4 linked regions of the Mytilus edulis genome follow. The main gene of each other region encodes a partner of the protein of the gene in region 4 in a complex. Links are inferred from orthologs where the notes say so. Each region holds a gene or a part of one and is shown on either strand. Other genes may lie near its edges.

Evidence for each region.
Region 1: the proteins of splicing factor 3B subunit 1-like (region 4) and ATP-dependent RNA helicase DDX42-like are in contact, whole or in part, in a cryo-EM structure (PDB 7EVN), measured with the Homo sapiens proteins. The link is inferred for Mytilus edulis from reciprocal best matches to the Homo sapiens genes SF3B1 and DDX42. Residues at the interface, in NP_036565.2 of Homo sapiens: Pro509, Pro510, Lys513, Arg517, Thr520, Asp557, Arg558, Tyr561, Lys562, Asp565, Leu566, Arg568, Pro569, Ile583, Ala607, Ile610, Ser611, Arg614, Glu622, Arg625, Asn626, Arg630, Pro646, Phe647, Ala650, Val651, Lys653, Ser654, Lys655, Lys656; in NP_031398.2 of Homo sapiens: Asn68, Glu71, Glu72, Tyr75, Phe76, Glu77, Asp78, Glu79, Glu80, Glu81, Asp114, Pro115, Leu116, Glu117, Phe119, Met120, Val123, Ala127, Asp130, Met131, Arg133, Leu134, Gly146, Ile147, Arg148, Ile151, Glu152, Glu153, Glu154, Asp155.
Region 2: splicing factor 3B subunit 1-like (region 4) and splicing factor 3A subunit 1-like share a complex: the UniProt entries of both Homo sapiens proteins name them as parts of the 17S U2 SnRNP complex. The link is inferred for Mytilus edulis from reciprocal best matches to the Homo sapiens genes SF3B1 and SF3A1.
Region 3: the proteins of splicing factor 3B subunit 1-like (region 4) and splicing factor 45-like are in contact, whole or in part, in a crystal structure (PDB 2PEH), measured with the Homo sapiens proteins. The link is inferred for Mytilus edulis from reciprocal best matches to the Homo sapiens genes SF3B1 and RBM17. Residues at the interface, in NP_036565.2 of Homo sapiens: Arg334, Ser336, Arg337, Trp338, Asp339, Glu340, Thr341, Pro342; in NP_001139019.1 of Homo sapiens: Leu309, Met312, Val313, Asp319, Asp321, Leu322, Glu325, Thr326, Glu329, Leu372, Arg375, Tyr376, Phe377, Gly378, Gly379, Val382.

Annotation. Positions count from the first base shown.
Region 1 is NC_092345.1:82,959,310-82,966,234, reverse strand, and holds the start of ATP-dependent RNA helicase DDX42-like, read left to right. Parts: upstream 1-3,916; 5' UTR 3,917-4,044; intron 4,045-6,925. UniProt on the Homo sapiens protein: ATP-dependent RNA helicase that binds to partially double-stranded RNAs (dsRNAs) in order to unwind RNA secondary structures. Unwinding is promoted in the presence of single-strand binding proteins.
Region 2 is NC_092346.1:97,751,249-97,758,988, reverse strand, and holds the start of splicing factor 3A subunit 1-like, read left to right. Parts: upstream 1-4,727; 5' UTR 4,728-4,821; coding exon 4,822-4,930; intron 4,931-7,441; coding exon 7,442-7,606; intron 7,607-7,740. Other genes in the region: zinc finger B-box domain-containing protein 1-like, read right to left, coding at 1,057-1,118. UniProt on the Homo sapiens protein: Component of the 17S U2 SnRNP complex of the spliceosome, a large ribonucleoprotein complex that removes introns from transcribed pre-mRNAs.
Region 3 is NC_092344.1:3,344,283-3,351,960, forward strand, and holds the start of splicing factor 45-like, read left to right. Parts: upstream 1-4,657; 5' UTR 4,658-4,672; coding exon 4,673-4,771; intron 4,772-7,678. UniProt on the Homo sapiens protein: Splice factor that binds to the single-stranded 3'AG at the exon/intron border and promotes its utilization in the second catalytic step. Involved in the regulation of alternative splicing and the utilization of cryptic splice sites.
Region 4 is NC_092345.1:84,715,974-84,723,696, reverse strand, and holds the start of splicing factor 3B subunit 1-like, read left to right. Parts: upstream 1-4,706; 5' UTR 4,707-4,812; coding exon 4,813-4,834; intron 4,835-6,766; coding exon 6,767-6,954; intron 6,955-7,723. UniProt on the Homo sapiens protein: Component of the 17S U2 SnRNP complex of the spliceosome, a large ribonucleoprotein complex that removes introns from transcribed pre-mRNAs.

The sequences.
Region 1 (6,925 bases), about 1.8 Mb from region 4:
GTGCGACATGTTTATGCTGGACAGACGGATAGATAGACGGACAGACGGACGAACCGAATGACTGATGGATGGAGGAACGGACGGATGGAAGGACGGACGGACGGACAGACGGGTGTATACAATAATACGTCCTGTCAAAATTGGGACGGGCGTGTAAAAACGCAAAGAAATGGAAAAAAAACTCGTAATTAAAGGTCAATAAGTTTTATTAGGATATCGGTCAAGTCGATTTATTTGTATATTTGTCTGCCTTATCATTTTTGCTATATAACTTTTATATATATTTGAAAAAAAATGTATAGAAATCGATAAAAAGAACTTGATATTCGGCATTTATTATAATAAACATAATCCAACTCACATAATCCGATTTCCCGGGTGTCCCTGTTTTCTCATTTCTTACAATATTTTAATTCGGTATACACTTTATAAGATAAGTGGCGAATCTAGATGACGTATAGGTTGCACGCCCCGACCCCACCTTTGGTTGCCAAAACTATATTGATTCCTGTATTTAACGATTTTGTAAAGCAAAAAATAATAGTGTTCGACTCGCTACGCTCGGCGGTATGTAAAAGTTGTTCGAATTACGTCCACTTTGAAATAAACTGAATCCGTCTGTCCGTATATATATTCACCAACGTCAGTGTACGACCATCATAACACAACGGCGACAGTACAGACTCGTTTTTTTTATGCCCCACCTACGATAGTAGAGGGGCATTATGTTTTCTGGTCTGTGCGTCCGTCCGTCCGTCCGTTCGTTCGTTCGTTCGTTCGTTCGTCCGTTCGTCCGTCTGTCCTGCTTCAGGTTAAAGTTTTTGGTCGAGGTAGTTTTTGATGAAACTTGGTACACATGTTCCCTATGATATGATCTTTCTAATTTTAATGCCAAATTAGAGATTTTACCCCAATTTCACGGTCCACTGAACATAGAAAATGATAGTGCGAGTGGGGCATTCGTGTACTGAGGACACATTCTTGTTTTAGTAATGTTAACAAAATAATTATTATTGAATTTTGTCGATGACCTGAGACTATTATACTAATTTGGACATAGCAGTATAGTTACAATAAGGGATAAAAAAAAATATTTTAATGCATGGTAGTTGTAATCCTACATTCATTTTCTATGTCGATTATGCATGCATATACAGTTGTCTTATTATCAACGTTTATCCTTAAGAAGATTTATTTTTAACGATTGTAGAAAAGATTACATACATAGAATGATTAGATTACTTATAAAGGTGTCCATCCTTTTGTGCGAGAAAATCACATATCAATTGTGTGTTTCGATTTTTAAGACCGTAAACTTTAATTTCAAGTTTAAACATGTTCAACATATTTTCCCATAACTCATATAGAAAACGCATATTAAGAGAGCTTTAATCTCAATATGCTGTTAAAAAATTTCGGAATGCAAAGTAAATTAAAATATTTGTGTTCTATAGAGTAGGAATTCAAGTTTTTGCTTATTATTTATTTGAATCTGAGACTCATATAAATAATAAGACGTTGTCCGGTGAACGAACTTGTTTTCCAACGACCCACAAAACTCCTTTTGAACGCTGAAGTTAAATAATCAATTATAATGTAATGCGATTATGATTTTTTTTATTTGACCAAACCGGGTTATGCATTTTGAAATCTATGACGAAACCGGGTTGTATACATTGACGAAACCGGCCAGTTCCATTTTGACATGACCCATTTCTTTCGTTCCATACACAAAGATACAATTATGGAGATGCTCATAACAACTAAATTTGCAATCTCCGTGTCAATATCTATCTTCCCGTACCTTTCTTTCCGTACAATGTGAACAATTTAACGAGAAATTAAACAATTTCGAGGCAAGGTTCACTCAATTCGTCATTTTGACATGCATTTTGACTTATTTCTCCGTTAATATAGAACGGTTGTAGAAAATATTGCATCTCACAATAGAAAATAGTTGTATATGTATATATATTCTTCAATATCATAAAAAAAATAAAAAAATAAGGAGAAACCTAGCTTTCTTCTGTCTATTAATGTTCCGTCATTGTGCCGGATGTTAGATACCATCGAGTCCGAACAAATTTTGCCGGTGTGGTTTAGACACAGTGACGTGTATACAATTTCGTTTAAAAATCGCCGGACAAGCCATTTACGTACCTGTTACCTTAAGTGAGAGGATGTCTATCATATAAAGAACGGAACGTCAATTCAAAGGGTAATGCTAGCCATTTTTTCTATGAAGCCCCTGTATGATGTACTTCGTGTAAATAAAGGAACATGTCGGCAAGAAGTGGAACACATCTAGTTCCCATGGGAATACAGTTTATTTGTTTAAAAAGATGTCCTGCAAACGTTATAAATATGTTGTCAATCAAGATATCAAACATCTTGATAATGTAAGTTTCAGAGATTTTTTTTACAAAGTATGTATACAATAATTTTTTAATCGTCCTATTAGAGAACGTTAATTGAATCCGCCTCTGGTTGTGGAGGGTGCGGGGGTGTTAAAGATCCATTGGTGCCTTTCGGCTGTTTTCTGTTCTTTTGTCAGTTTGTTGTTTCTTTGATACATTTCACGTTCCAGTTCTAAATCTTATTAAATTGTGTGTATTTAACAGTTAAAATTTTTTAAGTGTCCACATATGATCACGCCGCCCCTAGTGTAGGTTGTTTCACAATCACTATGATGCCCGGCTTTACTGAAATGAGTGGTACAATTTATTTTTAGAATATATATATTTAGAAAGGGGTTTCGTTGATCACGAGGATGACCAAATAATATATAAAGTTGTTGGTATGGTTAAATATGACCATGGCGTTGTCAGTTTATTTTCGACTTATGAGTTTGAATGTTCCTGTGGTATATTTCGCCTCTCTTTTATATAATTTAGGTATCTAATACAGCGAAGCAGGAACATATATATATTAGATAAACTGTTCCCAGCTGAGCGAAGGAAGGTCCATCCCTTCGTCTTTAGTTGATATTCCAAAGGAACATGTACATTTTTTTTATAGAGTATTGATTCAGATTACTTACACTCCCCTCTCCCTTTTGTGGATTTTTTTGTTCTAAAATGATATATCCCTAAACATTTTTGTATCTCTACGCGCGGCGGATATCTTACCTATTTCGACATCTAAAGGAGCAATAGCTACGAGTTATATAATAAAATCAAATTACGATAATTTTTTTATTCAATCATTAACGAAAGGGAAATAGTGAAATATTAACTTGCGATTCGCGTTTAGCAGCCAGTATGGTTCAATTTTGTCAAAATAAGATAAGAAACATCGATGATGAATTAATCACTTGCAAGAGACCTCATCTAATCCGTTACGTATGATTTATGCGTGTCCAGTTATTAAAAGAAGATATATGACCGTCGGTAGTTTTCGTAGGTCATCATGATAAACCATTGGATGGTGTTTAGACTAAAAAACACACGGAATTCTGACATATATTATCTAGTACATGCATTTATAACTGTTTATTCAAGACTTATTATAATTTGGATTGAGTAAACTGTGTGAACATGGTTTGACAGCTAGTGTCCCTTTAAATCCCTCTTTGCTGTGATATTACATATTTCATTAGAATCAGAATTCATTTTGACTGCTCTGCAAGTTTGCAGTTGTATGCGTATCCCACCAAACAAGTGCGTTAATTGTAGCATAACTCTCCCGGCCTTCACAGTCGAGTTCAAAGTGAAGTCATAAAACTTTCGAGTCAGTTTTTTGTAATCGTAATGTCGGATTTCATGTTTCGAGCATGCTTTTTGTGGTCCAAGCACTGAGCAAAGTTTTATGACTTCAAGCCCCGGGCGTCACGGATGAGTATTCAGTTGTAGATGCGCGCCAAGGGCAATACAAAATTTTAAGATCAGTTAGTGTAAGACGGAAACACTACGTAGTTGGTCCGAAACCGATACAATGAGCTCTTTCGTTTGAAGGAGAAATAATCATTATTCCCTTTTGAAGATTTTATTATTCTATTTTCTTACATTTGCTACGAGAAAACAGCACACACCAAGGAGTGTACAGGTTAAATAGATAGTATTTCAAACTTACCCTTTTCACCTTTTAGCGGATTAACTGCTACAAGAAAATTATACATACTTATTTGTTTATAAGAGAACGGTGTCACCATTTCATTTGTCAAGAAATTGTAACCCTTTAAAAATTCATTTAAAAATTCAGAAATTGGTTGACTTGACAAAATACACGTACCTAGGCATACACACACATAGAGAGAGAGCATAGCTACAAAGGCTAATTAAACCAGGGCCTTCCTCCAAAGAAATGATTAATCTCCAGCTCTCCCCAATAACAGGTTGGGAACAAACCCCCTGGATGGTGATTATACCTGTATAGAGGGATAAGGTAGCAATACACAGTTAGAAGTTTAGTTTCGCATTATGGCCCCTGTGAATTTTTTAAATATGAAAGTTTTTGTACAATAAAATTGATTTTTAGATAATTGAAGAATAATATAGCCTTCTTAGTGTGTTTATATGAACATTAAGATTGTTTTTAACATGTTTTATAGGCCATTTATATGATTGACAGTCCGTATTTTCTTATCCGTACCGTTCATAGGTCCATACATTATTGTAGTGTTTATCAACAAAGATTTTGCGCTCGATCTTTTCAATTCAATTTTATGGAAAAACGAGCAGATAAGCATATGGTTTTTTTTGGGACCACTTGATAGATATAAACCTATGGATTCAGGAAAGGTATCACTGTAATTGATTGAAATTTTCCTTTAGACCAAATTTTGGAGACTTTTGTGACATGTTCACCCCCCTTTTTTGTTATATTTTGTATCTAAGAAATGCAGATTGTTGCCATGGTTACACTCAAGAGGGATTATATTTCACCCTTATGACCATTAAAAAATCAAATCTATGGAAGATTCTCTTTCTATAAGTATATACATGCATAACACACATATAAAGCCTTCTTTGTTAGACAGGAGGGGAAAGAGGGTGTTTAAAAATTATGAGTGTCAATTTTAAGTTTTTTTCCTAACTGTGTATTGCTACCTAATCCTTCTTTAGAGGGTAAAAATTATCACTCTATAGAGGGGTATTTTTGTTTGCACTGGATTTAAAGCAAATTAGGGCAGAATGGCATTTTCTAGGTATATTGGCTATAATCTCTAGCATTAAATGCATCAACATATGCACTTTACTAAAAATTGGGATAACCAGTTTTCTGCTAAAGTGACAAAACTTGCAATCTATTGTATACCTATCTGAGCACCTGATCAACAACAAAAGGAATAGTTGACCTTTAAATTTCATGTTAAATCTAACAATAGAAATTCTGTTCAGTGAGGCATACATGTAAGAGTAGATTTTACCTGATCATCACATCTTTCAATCATGGTTAACAATAGATTTTATATTTAGTTAGATAAGCATCAAACTGGGCATGTGCATATTAAATTAAGTACATCAATTGGTGCATCAACTGTTCCAGGTTACTGCCATAATAAGAAGAGAATGCCATTCTGCCCTAATTTGCTTTAAATCCAGTGCAAACAAAAATACCCCTCTATAGAGGGATAATTTTTACCCTCTAAAGAAGGATTATCCCTCTATACAGGTATAATCACCATATAGGGGGTTTGTTCCCAACCTGAACAAACCTATAGTCCGCAAATAGTCAAAAATAACATAAGGCCACACCAATTTGATTCCTTGTTCGACAGACCCGCCCGCACCTATTTTTTTCAAAACAGAATTTTTTTATTTTTTTATATTCCTGCTTCCCGCATCCGAAAATTTAATCATGTCCATTTCCCGCACCGTTTTTTTGTAAATATTATAAAAAGATATCAACATTTGTTTTTAAAATCACAGTCTAACGTGTATATAACGATTTTAAACATAAAAGCACCCCACCACACTGTAAATATCTGTGAGAATATTTATTTCAGCATGAAACCAATTTATCCCAAGCGGGAGTGCTCCGTAATAACAAGGATTTGTATAGGAAGAAATAGCGGAAATACCTGAACATAATAAAACATTGGTTTCTTTCCCCCTTACTTATATTCCCTATCAAAAATATTCGTTGTTAGAATGAAGTACAAAAAACTTCTGAAGGATTTGCCTTCAACTGCAATTATATTGTATGCTGGCGAAACAAAACTATCCATAGCCGCTGCATGTTTATGCACCTGTCCTGATTGATTCAGGGGCCTGTCGTTCAGCAGTTATCGTTTGTTGATGTTGTTCATTGGTATTTTTCCGTTTGGATATATAGATTAGATCGTTGGTTTTCCTGTTCGAATTGTGTACGCTGACAATTTTGGGGTCCTTTATAGCTTGCTGTTTGATCTGTATCAAAGCCCTGTGTAAAAGGCCGTACTTTGACCTGTGTTTGTTATTATCAGGCTGAGAACAACCCTCTCTCAGACAACATGGACAAGGGGTCATTTTACTGATGTAGAAACGAAAATAGAAATACCAAGGATTTGTATAGTTCTTATATACAAAACCTTTAAAAACTTAGAATTTTGTACTCAAAAGAGGAGAGTTGCATCATATTTTAAAAAACTTTTCTAAAAGAGGGGTCCACTTATTTTGAATAATATTAAACTGTTAAAGTAAATGTGTTAACATGGTTAAAGTCCAGGAATATTACAAAATTCTTGGACATGTTTTGACCATTTAATACCAGATAGATATATAGTTCTTTGAGAAAATATGAGCCCTTTTGTACAAACAAATCTATTATAACTTATATTGATCCCTCATAAAACATGTAAAAGGTATATTTATAACATTAAGGGGTTGCCCCCAAACTGATTATGACTTGGATGGAGAATTGTCTCACTGTCAGTGATACATGTACATACATAGACCAGATTTAATTATTTCTTGGTGAACAGGGAAAAAATACTTCAGAAATT
Region 2 (7,740 bases), on a different chromosome or scaffold from region 4:
AATTAGTATCAGTAGTCTAAATATATTTGTAAATGTTAATCAATTAGTATCAGCAGTCTAAATATATTTGTAAATGTTTATCAATTAGTATCAGCAGTCTAAATATATTTGTTAATGTTTATCAATTAGTATCAGCAGTCCAAATATATTTGTTAATGTTTATCAATTAGTATCAGCAGTCTAAATATATTTGTTAATGTTTATCAATTAGTATCAATATATTTGTTAATGTTTATCAATTAGTATCAGCAGTCTAAACATATTTGTTAATGTTTATCAATTAGTATCAGCAGTCTAAATATATTTGTTAATGTTTATCAATTAGTATCAGCAGTCTAAATATATTTGTTAATGTTTATCAATTAGTATCAGCAGTCTAAACATATTTGTTAATGTTTATCAATTAGTATCAGCAGTCTAAATATATTTGTTAATGTTTATCAATTAGTATCAGCAGTCTAAATATATTTGTTAATGTTTATCAATTAGTATCAGCAGTCTAAATATGTTTGTTAATGTTTATCAATTAGTATCACCATAACAGGGTTGAGGGTAAATGGCATCAACAGAACAGATGCTAATGAATAAAAACATAAAATTACAATAAAAATGATTCAGTAACATTATACTTATAAATACAGGTGATGAAGACAAAATTAATTGAGATTTATAGTTTGAAGTGAATCAATGAAATCTAAATAGACAATATCTTATACAAACTGTTTAATAACTAATATGAGTATAATAAAAAAAAATAATGTTATAATATAGGGACAGTATCAATTCAAAGTTCATGTTTAAGATTTGGAAGCAAAATGCATGTTTAAATAAAACAGTTTTACACAATTGACAATACTCATCTTAACTGTTATCTTTTTAGATATTAGGGCAATCTAATTAAAATTAAATCCTTTAATTGCTCCTGTTCTGATATGTCGCGCATCAAGGCTTGATGCGCGACATATCAGAACAGGAGCAATTAAAGGATTTAATTTTAATTAGATTGGATATTAGGGTAACACTTCAACAATAAAACTGTAAAAATAAGATACATACTGCTGTTTAAGTCTAACAGACACATCTTCTTTCTTTGCAGTGTTGATATTAAATGCGGACATCTTTACAGTTTTCTGACTTTACGCTCCCAACTTGAATTCTGTCAGTCTGTAAAATAATAATCATCAGTTAAATTACTCATGAAGTCCTCTCTTTATTTATTTATCAGTCCAAAAAATGTAACATAAGTGTTTCTCAACAAAACACACAAAATCCTACAGTAGGAAATTTTGAAATTGTCAAGAAAGAAATTGTAAATTCAATTTCTAATGCAATTAGTTTGTAACGATAATTTTCATTGGACCTTGACAGATATTTTAAGGGGTTAGATTCCACGTTCTACCAGTCCATAACTAAGAAAGCCCCCATTTTGAAATCCGAAAAAGTAAAAATACTTTTAAGTATGTATGTTTGACAAATTTATTTTAATACATATTGTATGTGGCATTAGAATGGAGATAACTGTATTGTACTTTAAGCTTAGCCTTCGTAAAACTTGATTTTACTGTCGCAAATATCTGTTTATCTATCTATGCTCCGCATCAATAGGTAAACTCAATTCGCAACAGTAAAATCTACCTTTTAGGAAGGCCAAGCTAAAATACAGTTATCTCCTAAATACAATGCAACCACAATTGGTTTCACACTAGTCATTTTTGGGGCCCTTTATAGCTTGCTGTTCAGTGTGACAGTGAGCCTTGAGGCTTCATATAGGAGGCTGTACTTTGTCCTGTAATGGTTTACTTTTAACAGTTGTAATTCAATGGAGAGTTGTCTCATTGGCACTCATACCACATCTTCTAATATCTATTGATTTCAAATCTGAAATAGTATTTTTTCCATGTTTAAAATACTGCAAAAAATTGGGTTGATTCAATTTGAATTAAAAACAATCACTTAAATGATCCCAGACATGCTAGGGGTTCAAATTAGTTGTGGTCTGAAGTTCCGAGACGTATCAGATTTACAGTTGGACTTCCAATTTGGTTATTGGCCACACCAAATGTACTTTTGAGTTTTCAAGTTTCAGAAAGCATATTTGATGAATTTCTGTATGAAACACTTATAACTTGCAAATGTTTTATGGGTGCTTTCATTAAGATCCGCGTTCTTCATATTAACACATCTTCTTCTTCTTCTTCACATACAGAAAAACATCAACTGGTTGATGATTATTTTTTGGGGCATGCCTGGTTTAACAGTATTGTTAAAGGTTAATAATTATAAATATATTTTCTAATTTCATAGTGGTTGTAAACGTTGCTAAACCATGAGTTTGTTTCTCTTCTAATGTGGAGAAGCTTCCAGAACCTGTAAAATATTGTATAAAATACCAAACTGACTCTTATACGCATAGTGATATACACCCTTTATGCAGTCTCATACACCTTATCGCTATTCCCAGCTAACCCGGCCGCTTGAACTTTTAACGTCATTCAACAATCACTTTTCCATTGGGGCGTCAGATATTTTGTTTTATGACATCAAAATTTAATGGGAACCTGTGTGATATCTAGTAGTGGCGGACAAATAGCGATAAGGTGTATACGGGGTCTGTTCTCCGATCCCACTTATTGTTAAAGAGAATCCTGTATCTCGCTTATAGTTTAGTGAGAATCCTGTATCCTGCTTCTCGTTGCCACAATGGCGCATGTTATTTCCTGTGCCTCGCCAAGCTTTGTTTCTTGTTTTCATGCTTAAAAGGGCTCTTCACGGTTAGTTGGGCCATATTGGATAGGGGCAGATTTTCATAATGGAGGTAAAAATGGTGTGAAAAATACAGGAACACATCATTAAAACAGAGCAGTTGCTTAGAAACATGCATAAGAAATGTAAGATTTCCCACACTTTCATACTATTTCCACCTCTTTCAATAAAATCTGTCCCCTATTCAATTTGGCCGAACTAACCGTGAAGAGCCCTATTATTTGACTTTCACTTGTCACGCTTAGATAAAATCGGCCAATCTTGGTCACACTTATATAATAGACCCACCCTATATGTATGTACTTTCGAGAGATTCCGCCAATTTAGACACACCCCTTGATTGACTGCAAGGGTACAGAGGATCCATGTACACTCCCTAAGGATTAATGGAGATGTGTCCTTTACAATATTAACAATCCCTACCCAACACCGCCCAAGGGAGCCTGTAGGACACCGGGAAGTCTGTTATTATGGTGGAGGAAGCCAAAGTACTTGGAGAGAACCAACAGGCTACTCGGTGGAAACAGACAAACCAGAGAGATATCAGAAGATTGATCTCCAGGGTCAAAGTAGGGGACAATTTTCACCAACCGAGGCACCCAAAGTACCCATTTTTATAGTTTAAACTCCATTGTACCAGAGATGTGTGTGAGAGGGTGAAAATTACCCTTCTGATGTACTAATATGGGGACAAAGTCCCCAATAACGGTAGAAAAATCAATAAAAAAAAAAAAAAAAAAAAAAATCGGGAAAATTTCCTTTGTACTAATGAACTCAAAATCGTTAACTTTTTTTTCAGATCTACTTCTGTTTCCGGTCTTCTTCCGTTTCCGGTCTTGTTTGCATAAGACTTTGAATAAAATGTATATTTATCAACATATCAACAAATATAGGAAGGAACTCAACACCCAATCATTTTTAATATTTGTTTGATATGAAAAAAACGTTACCTGGATAACAGCGTTTCTTTGTTTATATTGAATATGACGTCATAACTTAAATAACGTCACAACTAAACCCCTAACAACAGAACCAACATCGGAAACGTTACGGTATTTCCGTTTCTTTTAGGCAGTGTCTGCGAGTACCCGCATGTGGGTACCAATAGTCAAATTGACATTTGTAGGCTATGCGTACCCACATCCAGTTTTATAATAAAATGTAATCAAATCGGAAATATATACAGAAATTATCGATAATATGGGGATTTCGAGTAACACGAGTGAAGCTAGGGTATGACAAATAATATTTTCGAATTTAATTTATAAGTTAATAATATATAATGAATGGTTCAACCTTGCAAATTAAATGCACATGTACTGATTGAATATGAAATATACAGTCCCTGTAAACTATAGTCCTATAATATATAATATCCGAATTTTAAGTTGCTTCCACGCCTCAGAGGCAAAATATTTGTTGATGCGGTGAAGGTTTAAATTACATTTTCGTCAAACATTTTGTTATCTATTTACGAAGCTTCAGAAATAATGTTTTAATTAGGCCTTAATTTTTCCTGTCGAACATGTTTAGAATTTTTTGCCTCCGTGAATACAGGAAAAAATTATTCTGTAAAACTTTGTAGACAAGAGTCAATGTTTGGACCTTTCATCGAACTTTACTGTTAAGTGGTGCCGTACTTTTCACAATTTTTTTTTTAATTTGAACCCCTGGATCCTGTAATCAAAGGCTACCGTTACCTAAATTTCTCCTCAAATCTTCATTTTACCGGATATCCAAGGTAAATATTTGGAAAGTCTCGCGAGAAAAATGGAGATTTTACTCTGGGTTTATAAGACGCTTAAGAGTTGAAAACGTACTTTTGTTTAAGATTAAATTGTGGGCTTAACAGCTGCTTATATCATTGTAATCCAATGCATATAAAATTTTATCAGCCTATATATTTCGCCGCTAAAAAGAATATGTAGCGCTATAAAAAGATATATTTCAGGCAAAACGTTTTTGCGACTTTGATAAACCTTAGCGACTTCCGGTACGTTTTTACTCGCAGCAATTTAGATATTGGAGGTGTTCTACTTCAAGATCACTTTTTCCAAAATGCCGCCTATTGAGAAACTTATATCTGTACAGGAAGAGAAAACAGAAGAAGAAATACAAGCAGCTAAACCAGTTATTGGAATCATATACCCTCCCCCAGAAGTAAGGAGTATCCTTTTAATGTCAACAACATATGTCTCTCACTCTTTAGAATAGAAAAAATATTAGAAAACAAAGTAAAGGTTATTATACATGTATAGTCTTTCTAAAGAAACTTGTGTAGAGGTATGTATGTTGTTTTCCTCCAGAGACAACTGTCTGTCTTGTAGTTGCACACAGAAAAAAAACAAATCCCATTATAATTTTTTTTTAAATCTTGCATAGATAAATAAGCTTAAATTATTAAGAAAGGGTATCAGGTCCATTCGCCCTACTTACATATTTGCCCTGAGTTCTTTCGCCCAGAGAGTCTGGTCGCCCTGGGATCGGTCTCTCTACTTTTATTAAAAAATATTAATATTTGATAAGGGTATTAAAGTTTAACAAACTTATTCAAATATTTATATAATGCAAGTTCTTAAAAAATCATGAAAACGCATGAAATTATCTAAAAATGATGGTGTTTTTATACCCCCGCTTTAAAAAAGGGGGGGTATACTGTTTTACCTCTGTCTGTCCGTCGTACCGTCCGTCCGTCAGTCAGTCCGTCCCATGAAACTTTCGTCACATTTTTCTCAGGAACTACACATCCACCCTTTCTGTAATTTGGTATCAACATTTACATATGTCAGCTATACCATGTGATGCGTTTTCAGATTCATCACTTGACAACTTCCTGTTTACCGAACACTTGTCTGATTTTACACATGATAGCCAAATTGAAAATTTTCGTCACATTTTTCTCAGGAACTACAATACAAGGATTTCTGAAATTTGGTTTCAGGATTTATATAAGTCAGCTATACCGTGTGATGCGTTTTCAGATTCATCACTCGACAACTTCCTGTTTACCGAACACTTCCATAGTTTTACACTATTAATATTATCCACTTGCGGCGGGGGTATCATCAGTGAGCAGTAGCTCGCAGTTTCACTTGTTTTTTTTGCATTAATCATGTTAATTAACGCTAATTGAAGGTAGTAATTTGAAGCCAAAGTTTAATGATAGTCGCCCGTTAGCATGGTTAGTAAACAATCATCAACGAAGCATAGGTATTTAGGTAAGCACATGTATAACATGTACAATAAGAGATAGTCTATGATGATGACAGAGCGATGATTACGTTTGGTTTTCCATTTGCACTTGCGTATTGAGATCTCGGGATTTTTACAAGAAAGGTCCGTCTGAGGTAACTGCATATATGGAAAACATGTTGGCGAATTGTTTGCTGGAAGCAAGCAATTAAAAAAAGTCAACTTCTTCTTAATTTTGACAAATAATAAAATTTTCTTGAGAAAAAAATATATATTTACTTAAGTTTTATAATAAAAACTATCCATTTAGTCATAAAAAACATATACATAAAAGTTTCATATGACTTTAAACATGTTCACTAACAATCAATCAATCTTGAGCAGTATATTGCTGAAGCATGTTAATACTATATTAAGATAAAATATCAGTATGCAGCTTAAATTTCACCTCTTCAATAAAATTTAACCAATGTGCTATATATTTGACTGAAAAACTCTGTGCCCCTGGTGCTTTAAAGGCTGGGGATAATATGGTTTAGCATTTTATAAATATAAAATATTATGATAAATATTCATTGATTGTCTTCAGGACAGTAGCAATAAAGTATATTGGTAAGTCATGTAATTTAGTATATTGTAAGTTAACATGCTTAAATCAAGTTTAATAGTTTACCAGCAGTATTGATACAATGTACAATAAAGTATATCATGTATATTGGTAAGACATATTAGTACATTTACATTGTTAGTTAACATGCTTAGGTCAAGTTTAATAGTTTCTTATGAGTATTAATAAAATAAAGTATAATATTGGTAAGTCATGTAAGTATTATATTGTTAGTTAACATGCAAAGATGAAGTGTAGGTGTATCAATACTCAAGAAAAGAGCATAACAGAATCTCAGTGTTCCTAAATTGGTGTATTTATACACAAGGAAGGAACAAAATAAGAATTTACTGTTCCTCTGCAAATTGGTCACAAGTTTGCTGTACTATCAGTATCTGTCTTTAAATCTCATCTCTTCACATGTAACAAAATTTTACAACATACATGTACATCTATCCCAACCATGTCACCCACACATGAATTTGTTCATGTGTTGAATCAAACTAATTTTTGTATTTATTTTAAATTAAACAATTTGTGGTTAAAATTTAGAATCTGCAACTGTGTAATTCTCATTCTGTTGAACATGTACAGTTCATACATGTATATGAGTACAAAAATTATGAAATCATTAAGTTATTGTAAAAGGCAGTTACATGAAATAAGGTTTATAGGCTAGAGTGATACACATGAAACATATTCAGTTCATATTCAATTCTTCCTCACAACATTTGAAGAAATTGTTAGTTAAGAATTTTTCAAATATTGATACTTTTGTTAATTGAAAGAATTTATTTTTATTTTACCTCTTTGATCTATATAGACCAGAATACTACACTGAATTGTAACATATATCATTTCTTTAACAAGGATTCTAAGATATTGTAGACAAGACTGCTAGCTTCGTTGCCAGAAATGGACCTGAGTTTGAGAGCAGAATCCGTCAGAATGAAATTAACAACCCTAAATTTAATTTCCTCCAACAAAATGACCCATACCATGCATATTACCAGTATAAAGTCAAAGAGTTCAAGGAGGGCAAAGGTAGATAGATTGCTGGTGTTTAAATAATACCTACTACAAGTACAAAGTCAGAGAAAACAATGGTCATGATATGGATAAGATTGTTATGTTATGATCTGCATTTACAATATATACTTTATTCTAACATGACGTCC
Region 3 (7,678 bases), on a different chromosome or scaffold from region 4:
GGAGAAGCTGATAAGACCTCATCTCATGTCCTTCAGTCTTTGTGTTGTGGAGAAGCTGATAAGACTTCATCTCATGTCCTTCAGTCTTTGTGTTGTGGAGAAGCTGATAAGACCTCATCTCATGTCCTTCAGTCTTTGTGTTGTGGTGAAGCTGATAAGACCTTATCTCATGTCTTGTAGTCTGTGTGTTGTGGAGAAGCTGATAAGACCTAATCATCTCATGTCCTGTAGTCTTTGTGGTGTTGAGAAGGTGATAAGACCTCATCTCATGTCCTTCAGTCTTTGTGTTGTGGAGAAGCTGATAAGACCTCATTTCATGTCCTTCAGTCTTTGTGTTGTGGAGAAGCTGATAAGACCTTATCTCATGTCCCGTAGTCTCTGTCTTGTGGAGCAGCTGATAAGACCTAATCATCTCATGTCCTGTAGTCTTTGTGTTGTGGCGAAGCTGATAAGACCTCATCTCATGTCCTTCAGTCTTTGTGTTGTGGAGAAGCTGATAAGACCTTATCTCATGTCCCGTAGTCTCTGTCGTGTGGAGCAGCTGATAAGACCTAATCATCTCATGTCCTGCAGTCTTTGTGTTGTGGAGAAGCTGATAAGACCTCATCTCATGTCCTTCAGTCTTTGTGTTGTGGAGAAGCTGATAAGACCTCATATCATGTCCTTCAGTCTTTGTGTTGTGGAGAAGCTGATAGGACCTTATCTCATGTCCTGCAGTCTTTGTGTTGTGGAGAAGCTGATAAGACCTCATCTCATGTCCTTCAGTCTTTGTGTTGTGGAGAAGCTGATAAAACCTTATCTCATGTTCTGTAGTCTTTGTCTTGTGGAGCAGCTGATAAGACCTAATCATCTCATGTCCTGTAGTCTTTGTGTTGTGGAGAAGCTGATAAGACCTCATCTCATGTCCTTCAGTCTTTGTGTTGTGGAGAAGCTGATAAGACCTTATCTCATGTCCTGCAGTCTTTGTGTTGTGGAGAAGCTGATAAGACCTCATCTCATGTCCTTCAGTCTTTGTGTTGTGGAGAAGCTGATAAGACTTCATCTCATGTCCTTCAGTCTTTGTGTTTTGGAGAAGCTGATAAGACCTAAATGCATGTCCTGCAGTCTTTGTGTTGTGGAGAAGCTAGTAGGACCTAATCACATGTCCTTCAGTCTTTTTGTCATAGAGAAGCTGATAGAACCTCATATTATGTTCTGTAGTTTTTGTGTCGTGGAGAAGCTGATAAGACCTCATCCTATGTCCTTCAATCTTTGTGTTGTGGAGAAGCTGATAAGACCTCATCTCATGTCCTTCAGTCTTTGTGTTGTGGAGAAGCTGATAAGACCTTATCTCATGTCCTGCAGTCTTTGTGTTGTGGAGAAGCTGATAAGACCTCATCTCATGTCCTTCAGTCTTTGTGTTGTGGAGAAGCTGATAAGACTTCATCTCATGTCCTTCAGTCTTTGTGTTGTGGAGAAGCTGATAAGACCTCATCTCATGTCCTTCAGTCTTTGTGTTGTGGTGAAGCTGATAAGACCTTATCTCATGTCTTGTAGTCTGTGTGTTGTGGAGAAGCTGATAAGACCTAATCATCTCATGTCCTGTAGTCTTTGTGGTGTTGAGAAGGTGATAAGACCTCATCTCATGTCCTTCAGTCTTTGTGTTGTGGAGAAGCTGATAAGACCTCATCTCATGTCCTTCAGTCTTTGTGTTGTGGAGAAGCTGATAAGACCTTATCTCATGTCCCGTAGTCTCTGTCTTGTGGAGCAGCTGATAAGACCTAATCATCTCATGTCCTGTAGTCTTTGTGTTGTGGCGAAGCTGATAAGACCTCATCTCATGTCCTTCAGTCTTTGTGTTGTGGAGAAGCTGATAAGACCTTATCTCATGTCCCGTAGTCTCTGTCGTGTGGAGCAGCTGATAAGACCTTATCATCTCATGTCCTGCAGTCTTTGTGTTGTGGAGAAGCTGATAAGACCTCATCTCATGTCCTTCAGTCTTTGTGTTGTGGAGAAGCTGATAAGACCTCATATCATGTCCTTCAGTCTTTGTGTTGTGGAGAAGCTGATAGGACCTTATCTCATGTCCTGCAGTCTTTGTGTTGTGGATGAGCTGATAAGACCTCATCTCATGTCCTTCAGTCTTTGTGTTGTGGAGAAGCTGATAAAACCTTATCTCATGTTCTGTAGTCTTTGTCTTGTGGAGCAGCTGATAAGACCTAATCATCTCATGTCCTGTAGTCTTTGTGTTGTGGAGAAGCTGATAAGACCTCATCTCATGTCCTTCAGTCTTTGTGTTGTGGAGAAGCTGATAAGACCTTATCTCATGTCCTGCAGTCTTTGTGTTGTGGAGAAGCTGATAAGACCTCATCTCATGTCCTTCAGTCTTTGTGTTGTGGAGAAGCTGATAAGACTTCATCTCATGTCCTTCAGTCTTTGTGTTTTGGAGAAGCTGATAAGACCTAAATGCATGTCCTGCAGTCTTTGTGTTGTGGAGAAGCTAGTAGGACCTAATCACATGTCCTTCAGTCTTTTTGTCATAGAGAAGCTGATAGAACCTCATATTATGTTCTGTAGTTTTTGTGTCGTGGAGAAGCTGATAAGACCTCATCCTATGTCCTTCAGTCTTTGTGTTGTGGAGAAGCTGATAAGACCTCATCTCATGTCCTTCAGTCTTTGTGTTGTGGAGAAGCTGATAAGACCTTATCTCATGTCCTGCAGTCTTTGTGTTGTGGAGAAGCTGATAAGACCTCATCTCATGTCCTTCAGTCTTTGTGTTGTGGAGAAGCTGATAAGACTTCATCTCATGTCCTTCAGTCTTTGTGTTGTGGAGAAGCTGATAAGACCTCATCTCATGTCCTTCAGTCTTTGTGTTGTGGTGAAGCTGATAAGACCTTATCTCATGTCTTGTAGTCTGTGTGTTGTGGAGAAGCTGATAAGACCTAATCATCTCATGTCCTGTAGTCTTTGTGGTGTTGAGAAGGTGATAAGACCTCATCTCATGTCCTTCAGTCTTTGTGTTGTGGAGAAGCTGATAAGACCTCATCTCATGTCCTTCAGTCTTTGTGTTGTGGAGAAGCTGATAAGACCTTATCTCATGTCCCGTAGTCTCTGTCTTGTGGAGCAGCTGATAAGACCTAATCATCTCATGTCCTGTAGTCTTTGTGTTGTGGCGAAGCTGATAAGACCTCATCTCATGTCCTTCAGTCTTTGTGTTGTGGAGAAGCTGATAAGACCTTATCTCATGTCCCGTAGTCTCTGTCGTGTGGAGCAGCTGATAAGACCTAATCATCTCATGTCCTGCAGTCTTTGTGTTGTGGAGAAGCTGATAAGACCTCATCTCATGTCCTTCAGTCTTTGTGTTGTGGAGAAGCTGATAAAACCTTATCTCATGTTCTGTAGTCTTTGTCTTGTGGAGCAGCTGATAAGACCTAATCATCTCATGTCCTGTAGTCTTTGTGTTGTGGAGAAGCTGATAAGACCTCATCTCATGTCCTTCAGTCTTTGTGTTGTGGAGAAGCTGATAAGACCTTATCTCATGTCCTGCAGTCTTTGTGTTGTGGAGAAGCTGATAAGACCTCATCTCATGTCCTTCAGTCTTTGTGTTGTGGAGAAGCTGATAAGACCTAAATGCATGTCCTGTAGTCTTTGTGTTGTGGAGAAGCTAGTAGGACCTAATCACATGTCCTTCAGTCTTTTTGTCATAGAGAAGCTGATAGAACCTAATATTATGTTCTGTAGTTTTTGTGTCGTGGAGAAGCTGATAAGACCTCATCCTATGTCCTTCAGTCTTTGTGTTGTGGAGAAGCTGATAAGACCTAAATGTATGTCCTGCAGTCTTTGTGTTGTGGAGAAGCTGATAAGACCTAAATGCATTTTCTGCAGTCTTTGTGTTGTGGAGAAGCTAGTAGGACCTAATCACATGTCCTTCAGTCTTTGTGTCATAGAGAAGCTGATAGGACTTATATTATGTCCTGTAGTCTTTGTGTCGTGGAGAAGCTTGAAGAACCTAATGTCATGTCCTGCGTTCTTTGTGTTGTGGGGCAGCTGATAGGAAAGAATTTCGTTCCCTTCAGTGGAGAAGCGGAAACCCGGATCTATCATGCCCTTCAGTGTGTTATCAGTGGAAAAGCTGGTACCAGTTCTTCTCTGGTCCTAAAATGTTGAAATATTGAAGAAGCTGTTACCAGACAATCTCAAACCATTCAGTGTTTCGATAGTGGAAAAGCTGAAACCAGGCTTCCCTGTATGTCCTTTAGTATTATAACAGTGAAGAAGCTTATCAGACTGTCCCACTTAGTTCAGTGTTGTATATAACAATGTGCAGAAATTGGTACCAGGCTATCTCTTACCTTCAGTTTTGTAACAGTGCAGAAGATGATGAAAGGCTATATCCTGCCTTCCAGTGTAAATTGTAACAATGTGCAGAAGATGATAATCATCCAGTGTTGTAACAGTGCAGAAGATGATAAAAGGCTATATCCTGCCTTCCAGTGTAAATTGTAACAATGTGCAGAAGATGATAAACATCCAGTGTTGTAACAGTGCAGAAGATGATGAAAGGCTATATCCTGCCCTCCAGTGTAAATTGTAACAATGTGCAGAAGATGATAATCATCCAGTGTTGTAACAGTGCAGAAGATGATAAAAGGCTATATATATCCTGCCTTCCAGTGCTGTAACAGTGCAGAAGATGATAAATTGCAATATCCTGCCCTCCAGTGTTGTAACAGTGCAGAAGAGGACAAAAGGCTATATTCTACCATCCAGTGTTGTAACAATGAAGAAGATGGTACCAGTTTTTTTTTTATATTATGATAACTTAAACGATTTTTTTTAATTAACATATAATTATCTGAAACCATAATAGATTTTTTTTCAAAATCATACCTAAAAGTTAAGTTCATAACACTATATTTACCCTTCATATTTTGGGCGTTAAGTTACAACATTATTTTTATTTATCAGATAAAATAAGAAATATAAAATTATAACACTAATCTGGACTGGGTTGCACAAACGTCTATTAAAGTTAATAGTCTATTAAAAGTACACTTACATTTAATAGTCTATTATTTGTGTTGCACAAATTTTAATTAGCGTTAATAGTCTATTAACTCACTATTAAATTTAATTGAACGAAGGAGCGCTATTAAAACCTTAATTGTACATCTAAAATTGATGCCATGCAAGTGCTTGGATTACCTGTAACCCAAAATCAGCCGAAAAAGTACCGTGACAGGCTTTTCAACTCGATGATTTGTCAGACTGAGAGCTTCGCACAGCCGGTGATATCCCACATTGTATGATTTCGCAACAAAAAGAATTGTTTTGGTTATCATTAAAATAATAAGAGAAAGAAAAGATAAAAATTGAGAAGTTCTTGAAGCATAAATGAGATATGAATGGGGTGGTGACGGGGAGGGGAATCAGAGGGGGCCTGGTCCCGAAATCAAGGTCTTAAAAGTATGTTATCCCGAGGTCCCGAATTTAAAGAAATTTAAATCCTGATATTCCGAAATTTGAAAGTAGAACCGGATCAAAAAAGGTCCTGCCCTCCTCATGAATCTATTAGGGGAAAATGGTTTTATTTTAAATACGGCAAATATCATTGAACTGATGACAAAAAAACTTTTGCCCGCATCCTTGGAAGTCCGCTCCAAGGTTCAAACTGAACTGTATTTCTTAGAAAAAGATCGTATAAAGTCCCGGTCAAATTTCGGAAACACGTTGCACATAATATTGTGAGTAAAATCATAAATTTAGAGGAAGATTTACAGTTATAAGTTTTCATACGTTTTTCACAGTGGAGCCAAAATTCATGAAATGCGCGGATACACAGGACTGTGCATCGTACGATAACAATATTATACCGTCAATGATTAAACCAGACTGAGTCTTTGCTATGAAATAACAAATAGGACCAAATGTGTTTTAGGTTTTCTTCGTAAAATCTACATCCAGCAGATCAATATTGGTGTCAACATTGAAAATTAATACACATTTTCCCTGAAATAGGTTGTATAAATGAAGAATGTAATCTCCGTTGACGTTTTGATAAAGAGTGCTTTCTTTCACGTCCGCATTTCTATCAAGTATGGCACGCCAAGTTAACATTTTAATGATTATTACAGATAGGAAACACAAATAACAGAACAGTGCATGCACAATATCATACATTGTTATTCGTAGGACATACGAGAAACTACGTGGTGATTTTTATATATTACACAGTAAACTAATGTAGATTTTTTTTAATTAAATATGGCATAGTGTAGATTGTCCCTAATATTTATAACCAATAATTCATATTTAACATTTTTTTTCCATCTGAAAACTGTAATATAGATGAAAAAGAAAGTATCCGACACTTTTGTGAATCTTGGGTATAAACTTCAAATAAATATATGATATTGACATGTGATGGTGTTCATAATAACATAAACAATTATTGGATTTATGGGGGTCAACGGACGTCAGCCAGGTATTCCGACACCCCACTGGTCCAACACCCCATAAGTCCGATAAAGATTAATAACTGCCGCAATAGAAAATATACTTCATGAGTAGAGGTTTATGAGGATGTGGATGTGGATTTACAGAAAAGAGAAAAATGGGGGAGGGGGGATTTAAAAAATAGAGAAAAATGAGGTCCTAAAATAATGGGCAAAAAGTATAAAGAATAGAGAAAATGGCAAACATTTGAAAGAATACAGGTACAACCCCCCTCCCCAATCCAGACACCCCTTGGTAGAATAATTGTTGACATGCGTTCTAATTTCACAGAAACAGATTTTAGCATGCCACCTATCTGGTATAACTATCAAAGAAATACCATGACCATATATATGCATATAAAGAAACTGAATACCTTGCAAGTTTTGGTAAAAGAAGATCTATGGGAACAAATTCTACTAAAAAAAAAGAAACGTCATCAGCAGAGCAGTCTCTCTTCATAAAGACAAATCATAGTGATCAAGGAACGACCATTTAGCTTCAAGGGGGTTATGTTTTTTTCCTAAAAAAATTATTCAGATCCCCAATTTGATGAAAAAAAGATATTCTGGTCAAGCAGATGAAAAAAACATATTTTGAATGCAGTAAATATAGTGTTAAACAACACAAGCAAACATGCGACACGAATATTACTCTTTTGACATCCACAAAAATAAACTGTCAGTTTTCAATATTCCGATTTACCAGCATTTTTTGCTGTTGTAAACTTATTTTAACATATTCCTCAAAGAGAACGCGGCAAACTTTACAAAGTTCTATTTGGTTTATCACTGTTTTTATAGTTCAATGAATTAACTTTTAAAAATAATTCACTCTTCAATTAAGTAGTGTATAAACATTGTTGTACATATAGACTAACTAAACTAATGTTCATCTCAAAATAATTCTGAACACTGAACCAAGCATCTCACATACAATCGTCTAAGCGGTAAAGCCTAACTGGAGCCTTAACTTTCTAATTCCTCTGCTTTGGGAGAGATACATAGCTGTGTATCGTCATGTTAGTTATTCGATTAAGCTTTACAAAGTTTATTTAGTTTGACAAAATATCGCTACACCGCGTCTCAATCATTCTTTATTTTTGGGGGTGAATACTACCGACTACTTTCATTTATACATATCTACCAAACAACCGTGTTAAATTGCCTGAGCCTGCTGCAAGGCAAATTAGCGGCGGTTCGTA
Region 4 (7,723 bases):
AAGTCTCTGTATTACTTAAAAATTATTACACCAGAGTTTTTGATATCACAAACTATTCAAAAAATTTAATGAATTTTATCACCATTACAAGGACATCATTCGTAAATATAAATCAACATGCAGACATCTTATACGTTCAGGTATTTCACATCCAATATTCTATGGTAATATTCTTTACTAAGCACAAAAAATGTCGGCATTCACCTCAAAAGCTAACCAAACCGTTAAACAGACTTACTATAATGGTTTACTTTTATAAATTGTTATTTGGATGGAGAGTTGTCTCATTGGCACCTACACCACATCTTCCTATATCTAATTATTCGGAAGGATATCGTAAAGATACTATTGTCAAGTCATTAAGGATTGTATATTGGTTAACTCATGAGGTCTTTGCATCGGAATTCAAAACATTTTTCTAAAACCAGTTGTTGTCATGATACTCAGTGCTGTGATACTAGTTATGTTCTTCTCATATATTTTTTATGGTATGATACTAAACCCCTTTCGGAAGGGATGGTACTTGATTTTCATACGATGAAGACAAAATCGTTCAATCAGTTCGATTGAAGGCTGGAGCTGGTATATATCAGTAACTGCTAGCAGTCCTTTGTAAATTTATGTATCAATGTCATTTTGCTTACTTTTTTTGTTACCTATTCTGACATTGGTCTCGGAATTCTTTTAAACTGAGTATACTGTGCGATTTTCTGTGTTTCTTTAATCTACATTGGTTAGAGGTATAGGAGGAGGGTTGAGATCTTACAAAACATGTTTAACCCCGCTGCAATTTTGCACCTGTCCCAACCCTCGTTGTGGTCTATGATTGTGATGGTAAGTTTTTTTAGATCAGCTTGGGCGTGCCCAGGTGATCTCAAATGACGACGCCCAAGCTGATCTCAAATACCTTACCATCACAATCATAGACCACAACGAGGGTTGGTCGAAGGCTGACAGAGTAACTCGGGAAAGATTTTGGATTAGAAAGTTAAGGACAGTTTCCCCAGAGGGCATAAATGAAAAAAACATAGAATGAGTCACTCATTTTCCCTACCATCACTCATTTTCCTGTCATCACTGTTTTTCCTATCATCACTTGGTCCCAGTAACTCCGGCTTCCGTACTGGACTTACAGCTTTAAGAATTTAAGAAAAAAAAATATACCAGTTTAAATTACAGGGCTCCATTCATTCAAGTACACAGCCACGTTCAGTTATTTTACCTTAGTAAATAAAAATTTATTTATTTTTCTAATCATTATTTAACTGCTATTTTTTTTTTTGGGGGGGGGGCTTAAATATGCCGTCTCTGTTGCAATTGCCCTACCGTTGTCAAATTTGAAATATTATACCAACTTAGATCGGTTAGGGCGTTTTTGTTTATTTTTGGGGACTGTTATCCACGCAGTTGTTGTTACATTTTTACTGGCATCACCTTTGGAATTTTAGAGTTGTGTCAGTTCACATCGCAAATTACTATTTTTATTTTGGCATCTCTTTGCAGTCTTTGCGTCGTGTTTGGAAATTTTAAAATTGTACCAGCGTCTCTGATGTTCGCCTAAACTGTTTTTTGTTTGTGTATAAATTTCAAGATTGTGATAGTGTTATAATAAGAATAGATTAATTGACATGATTCATTTTAGTGGTCATACTGAAGAAGGATATCTGTAATCCGAAATAGCTAACATTTGTTCATTTTATTGTTATTTTATGGTGATGTTGTACCCTTTTTGACTTGTTAATATATATATATATATACATATATACAAGTCTAAATTGAAAACTACGTCCAAACCTATGACTGCGTTAGATAAAAACCGCAATTTTTATACGTGTGCATGTAAAACAAATTTCGTTGTAGAAGGGTCTAAATACAGCACAAATAACATTTTCCAAAAGACCAAAAAAGTGAAAAAGTATATAAAATACAGATGAAATATTTACTCCAAAAAGTAAAATCGACGAAAATGTCGCCATGCGAAGGCCACAAAGAGTCAACTTTCAAAAATATGCAATTAGAATTTGCTACAGGCATCCATTTTGTTTTTAAATCGACAGTATGTATGGACTACTGTCAAATTGTTCAAATATTTAAAGATAAAGAAAGTTATTCGATTTTACGGACATGAATTTAAGCATGGATGCAATTTTGGTACATCTCATTCACAGAACCATGGGCCCTAACTCGTTTGGAGGTCATCAAAATAAGCACATTGTCTTGATCATAGATAAACGTAGGCGAAAAAAAAACCCCAACATATGGTCCAATTTGAGTTGTTACAAGGATCTTTATAACGTACACAAAACATCAGTGGCACTCTTTCTAAACATGTCCAAACAACCAAACCTAAAATGTTACATATTTCATTTCTTAATTTTTTTCTTGTTTCTCGGCATACTTTTACTCATAGTCGTCTCATATTTTTTTTCTCTTATAATTTAGTTTTGGCTTTCTGATTTATGATTGATATCTACTAAATTTTCTATTGGTGATTTATATTTTCTCTGTTTTTTTTTTACAATCACCAGTAAACCACGGAGCCTTCTTACAGTTTTGTATTTTTTTATTATCAAGTTGGATATTTGTGCCAAAAGTACTCCTGGCTACATTAATTGGTATTTTTATATACTCCAAACTGGTGGCATTTATGGTTGTTTCCCTCATCGGTACGTTGTCAACCATATTTAAAAGTTGATTCAGTGTTTCGCTTACTATTTCTCCGTCTATATTATGAATAAAAGTCTGCAGTTTTCATAATTTCCTAGTTTCTATACATTTTTTTCATATTACGGTTCATACAAAACCACTTCATTTTCATTTATTCACGAGTCGTCTCGATTAATGATAACAGATTACATATATATAAAAAGAAAAAAGAAAAGACCCAACATAAATACTTCAACTGTCGAGCAGTGAGCTAGGACCCCAAGATAGTTTAAAATTAACATCTCGGTCATATACGAATGACCATGGCCATATATAGGAGGCTATGTCTAAAGTTATCTTTGTTTTACCATGGAAGTATTGTTTGACTGATGTTGCTACACCTAAAACTTGAACTAAACTTTTACTGGGTAATCTTTATTATTAGAAACATTAAAATGCCTCTATTTTAATTCCCTCTTATTCAATATATAAGCCGTGACATATATTTAGCAGTATCTTAGGAAACTTAGTATATTCTTTGTACATTTCTCACTAAAATGTAGATTATTATTTGAATTTTCGTAAATTCTAAACACATAATCTGAGACCACCAATAGGTCAATGTAATAGTCCCAAGGTATAATATTTTTTTTAAGGGGCACTAGCTGTCAAATTCATGTTCACCAATTTGAACAACTTATTTACAGTGCATGGGCCCGATAATATGAAGCTTCGTTTCGTGTGTATTTTAGTCTAGACGCCAGCTATATTTAAACTATCGAGTTGACCTCCGAAGTCCTCAAATGACCATATAAGCGATGTAAACACAAATATAGATACAAATAGATTTATCGAACTCGTGCAATTCGATTTTTCTAGGTCTGTTCAATTCATATCATAGATTAAAAATATATGTTTATCTTCATCGTTTTTGTCTGTATATTTTTTGTGGATCAAATCAGTCAATCAATCAATTGATTGTAAAAAAGAAGATGTGGTATGATTGCCAATGAGACAACTCTCCACAAGAGACCAAATATTACAGATATTAACAAATATAGGTCACCGTACGGCCTTCAACAATGACCGGCAAAGCCCATACCGCATAGTCAGCGATAAAATGCCCCGAAATGACAATTCAAACGAGAAAACTCGCGCGGCATAATTTATGTACAAAAAATGAACGAAAAACATAACACATATATAAACAAACGACAACCACTGAATTACAGGCCCCTGGTCGTCGGGACAGACACAAACATACAGAATGTGGAGGGGTTAGACATGTTAATGGGATCCCAATCCTCCCCTTACCTGGGACAGTAGTGTAACAGTACAACATAAAAAACGAACTATAAAAACCAGTTGAAAAGGCTTAACTCATCAGATGGATAAAAATCAGTACAAATAAGTATTACAAATACAAGTAGAAACCTTTGTTATCTTTCATGTTAACATTTTTTCCCTTTATAAAATAAATTTACAAGCAAAATTCATGCGTTATCCATCTTTTGCTAAGGGGTTAAATTGAAGTTTACATGAATACGGATTAAATGAGGTTGAATTATTCACTTGCAACTGAGTGAATAATTCATCATAGTGCCCCTTTAACCGCGAATAAAATAAAACAAAAACAATGTAAAAACAGTAAAAAAAAAAACTTAGATTAGAATAACACAGTAAGGTTATAGTTCTAGAAAAAAAATAAACAGAAATCAAAATCTACAAAACAAATGCCGATGTGGGCACTTTTCTACATTGGCTAGAAGGTATAGGGGGAGGGGGGGGATCTCATAAACATGTTTAACCCCGCCGCAATTTTGCGCCTGTCCCAAGTAAGGAGCCTTTGGCCTTTGTTAGTCTTGTATGATTTTTGATTTTAGTTTCTTGTGTATAATTCGGAGTTTAGTATGACGTCCATTATCACTGTACTAGTCATGATACATATTTTTAGGGGCCAGCTGAAGGACACCTACGGGTGCGGGAATTCTCGCTACATTGAAGACTGGTGGCCTTCGGCTGTTGTTTGCTCTATGCCGGGTTGTTGTCGCTTTGACACATTCCCCATTTCCTTTCTCAATTTTGGAGTTTGTTTGAGACTCCGAGATTTCACGCACATTGTTTGTAAATTAAAGTCTTCCATTTATTCATCAATAGACCAGCAAAATGGCTGCAACAACAAGAGAAGGTCCGTATACTATTTCCCCACTTCTCCCCTAGAAAACTTATATGAAACAACCTCAAATGTAGCAATATGACATTTTAATTAAATTTACATATAAGTAAACATCCACACACGTGGCTTTGTGTTGCAACGTATAATGGAACACATGTGTGTTAAAAGGTTCAAGATTTTATTTTCGAATTCTTGAATCTTGTCATACTACATTGTTCTTAGCAGTTCTTTTTCATAGTGGCTGTCTCGATCCATATCCAATACTATTTTAACTCATTGTGAATTAGAGAGAATCTTTACCTTCAGAAGATATGCTGCCCAACAGGGCTGATAACACGTTTCGGTCGCATAAGTTATAACCAGTTCAGCCATAGGTCATTTCGGCTGTAGAACTAGTTTTGCAATAGTCCATTCAGCCACACTAATTTTTCCATTAATACATGCATCATGTATGTTCTGAAAAGGAATATTATTTAAGTCATTTAGTTACAATAAGTTGAACAAGTGTAAAAAATTGCTTGTCTCCACCAGGACTCGAAACACAGGACCTTAGTCTTTAGTCTTTAGTAAGTGTCCCAAATGACACTGTAAACACTTGTGTACGTTTCCTCTTTTGTAGTTTCTTCACATATGTAATGTTTCAGTTTGTGTAACAAGGAAGCACTTATGGCTGACTAAATGTCTACCACATTTATGAACGAAAGCAATCCTGTCACACTTCCCCCACCTCAAGAGTCATCATACCATTATGACTCTCACACACATTCCCTAGCTAGAATGACTCTCTAACCACCTATATTATGTATAACATCATCATATCGGCACTAGTATAAGCACAAGAATACTATGAAAAGAAAAGGTGCCTTTGCAAGAGTATAACAACTACTGTGGAACTAAAAGCTATAACAAATGTAGTGCAAAGCAAATTTCAACTCATATCAAATTTTGATTATTAATTCCAACAGAATTAGGGTTAAATTAAAACATTTTAACCAGCCTGAAAAAAAACCCATGACTAGGCCTAAAATAAAATATTGTTTGTTTCCCCAATCCCAACCGACCCTGCAAAAACAGTGCTACTCATAAAATTTTATTGTCAAATTTAAGTCAAATATTATTTTATTCATTTCCTATTTTCAGGCTTGCAGGATCGTCCAATGTTGTTCAAGCTTTTTGGAAAAAATAAAATTATTTCCCTACCTTCCGACCCACACCTGGCTTGGCAGGGTCAGGATTGGGGAAACAAACAATATATTAATTTAGGCCCTAGTTATTAACGTTTTAATTTATGAAAAGAACTCAATCAACATAATCAATGTTGCATTGCAGTAGTAGTACATGTAAATGAAGAGAGATCTTAAAGATCATACCATTGAAGAAATTGATAACTTCAAGAATCAGTTAATTCAAATGACCAATGAGTCAGATATGAATTTTCTGGCTCTACTAAAGAAAGTTTTTAACAACCTTGACTGGCTACACAGCCCTTGCACGGTCAGAATTCTGGCTCCGTATTAATCCATATACTTGTAGAAATCAGAATGTGATATCCCTTTTCTAATAGGTATTCCACAGATACAACCAATTAAAAAAAAAAGATCTGTCTCTTTAAAATAATTAAGTAAAATAAGGGCATGAAGGGGATGTGGCATCATGGACATAGTTTCTTAAAGTTGAAAATTCAGCTTTTATTTAATTAAAATTTATATAAAAAAAAAGATGAAGTATGACTGCCAATGAGACAACTCTGCACCAGAGACTAAATGACATACAAAATTAACTACTTAGTGAAAAAATTAAAAAACTTAACTATGTTGAATTGCATCAAATAAAAAGGGGTAAGTCCAAGAAATCCCACTGACAATATGAACTATCCATTTAAAAACCCTACTCAAATATTAACATACAAATGATTCAAAATTAAAATGGAGATATTTATTTCAGAAATTGAAGAACAAGTACGAAATCTTCAACAAAAGAAAAAGAAGCTCCAAGATGGAGGGGCAGATGAAGAAGATGAGGCAAATAAAGTTGGTTTGGGAGCAGAAGGCCATTATGATACAGATATTTACAGTGCACATGGGAAGTTTGAAGGATATGTCACATCTATTGCTCCAAATGAAGAATTAGATGTAAGCAATATGTTTTTCTTCAAAAAAAGTTTTGATTTGAACATAAAGCAGTTTTATTGAAAGTTGGTTATGTGTTTTTTTATAATATAGGTAAGCTTTATAGAGCTTTTAACCTAACAAATACTCTTTAGTTTTTATTAATGAATTTACAGCTTTGTATGAATGTACATGTACACAATTTAAAAAGGATGATGGTAGAATATACTAAAGCAGATATCATATCAATTTTATGGTGATAAGGAATTCAAATTGTGTAACTTTCTAATAGCTGATCAAAGCTCCAGATAAGCTGCGTATTTGCGTGATCACGCAATACAAAGAATAAAAAACCCAATGCAATTGCCCATTGCAGGGTTCAATAACCCAATTAATTCAAAGGAAAACCCAATAATATGCCAAAACCATGAGTTCTCGACCCTTTTATTGGCTTCCATTTGCGTTATTTACCCTTATCTGTTTACAGTCGTCGCGTAAACTATTTTTATAATATTTATAATTGGAAATTTCCTTTCGTTCTAAAAATAGATCCCTGCATCAAGTAGCTGAAATGGGTCCCTGTTAGAGTTTTTCGTTGCTCAAAGGATACACGTGTTTTTGAAAACATTTCGATCTTCTCGGTGTTTATCCAATTAGCGTGTGTCATGTAGTCATATTTTTTTCGCATTGCTCGGGATTTATCATAACATACATTAAAACGAAAGTGAATGTCCGGTAAAAATATTGAATACAGAAGCATGTTTTCTGCTTCTTTTGAAAAGCTGAGGGAAAG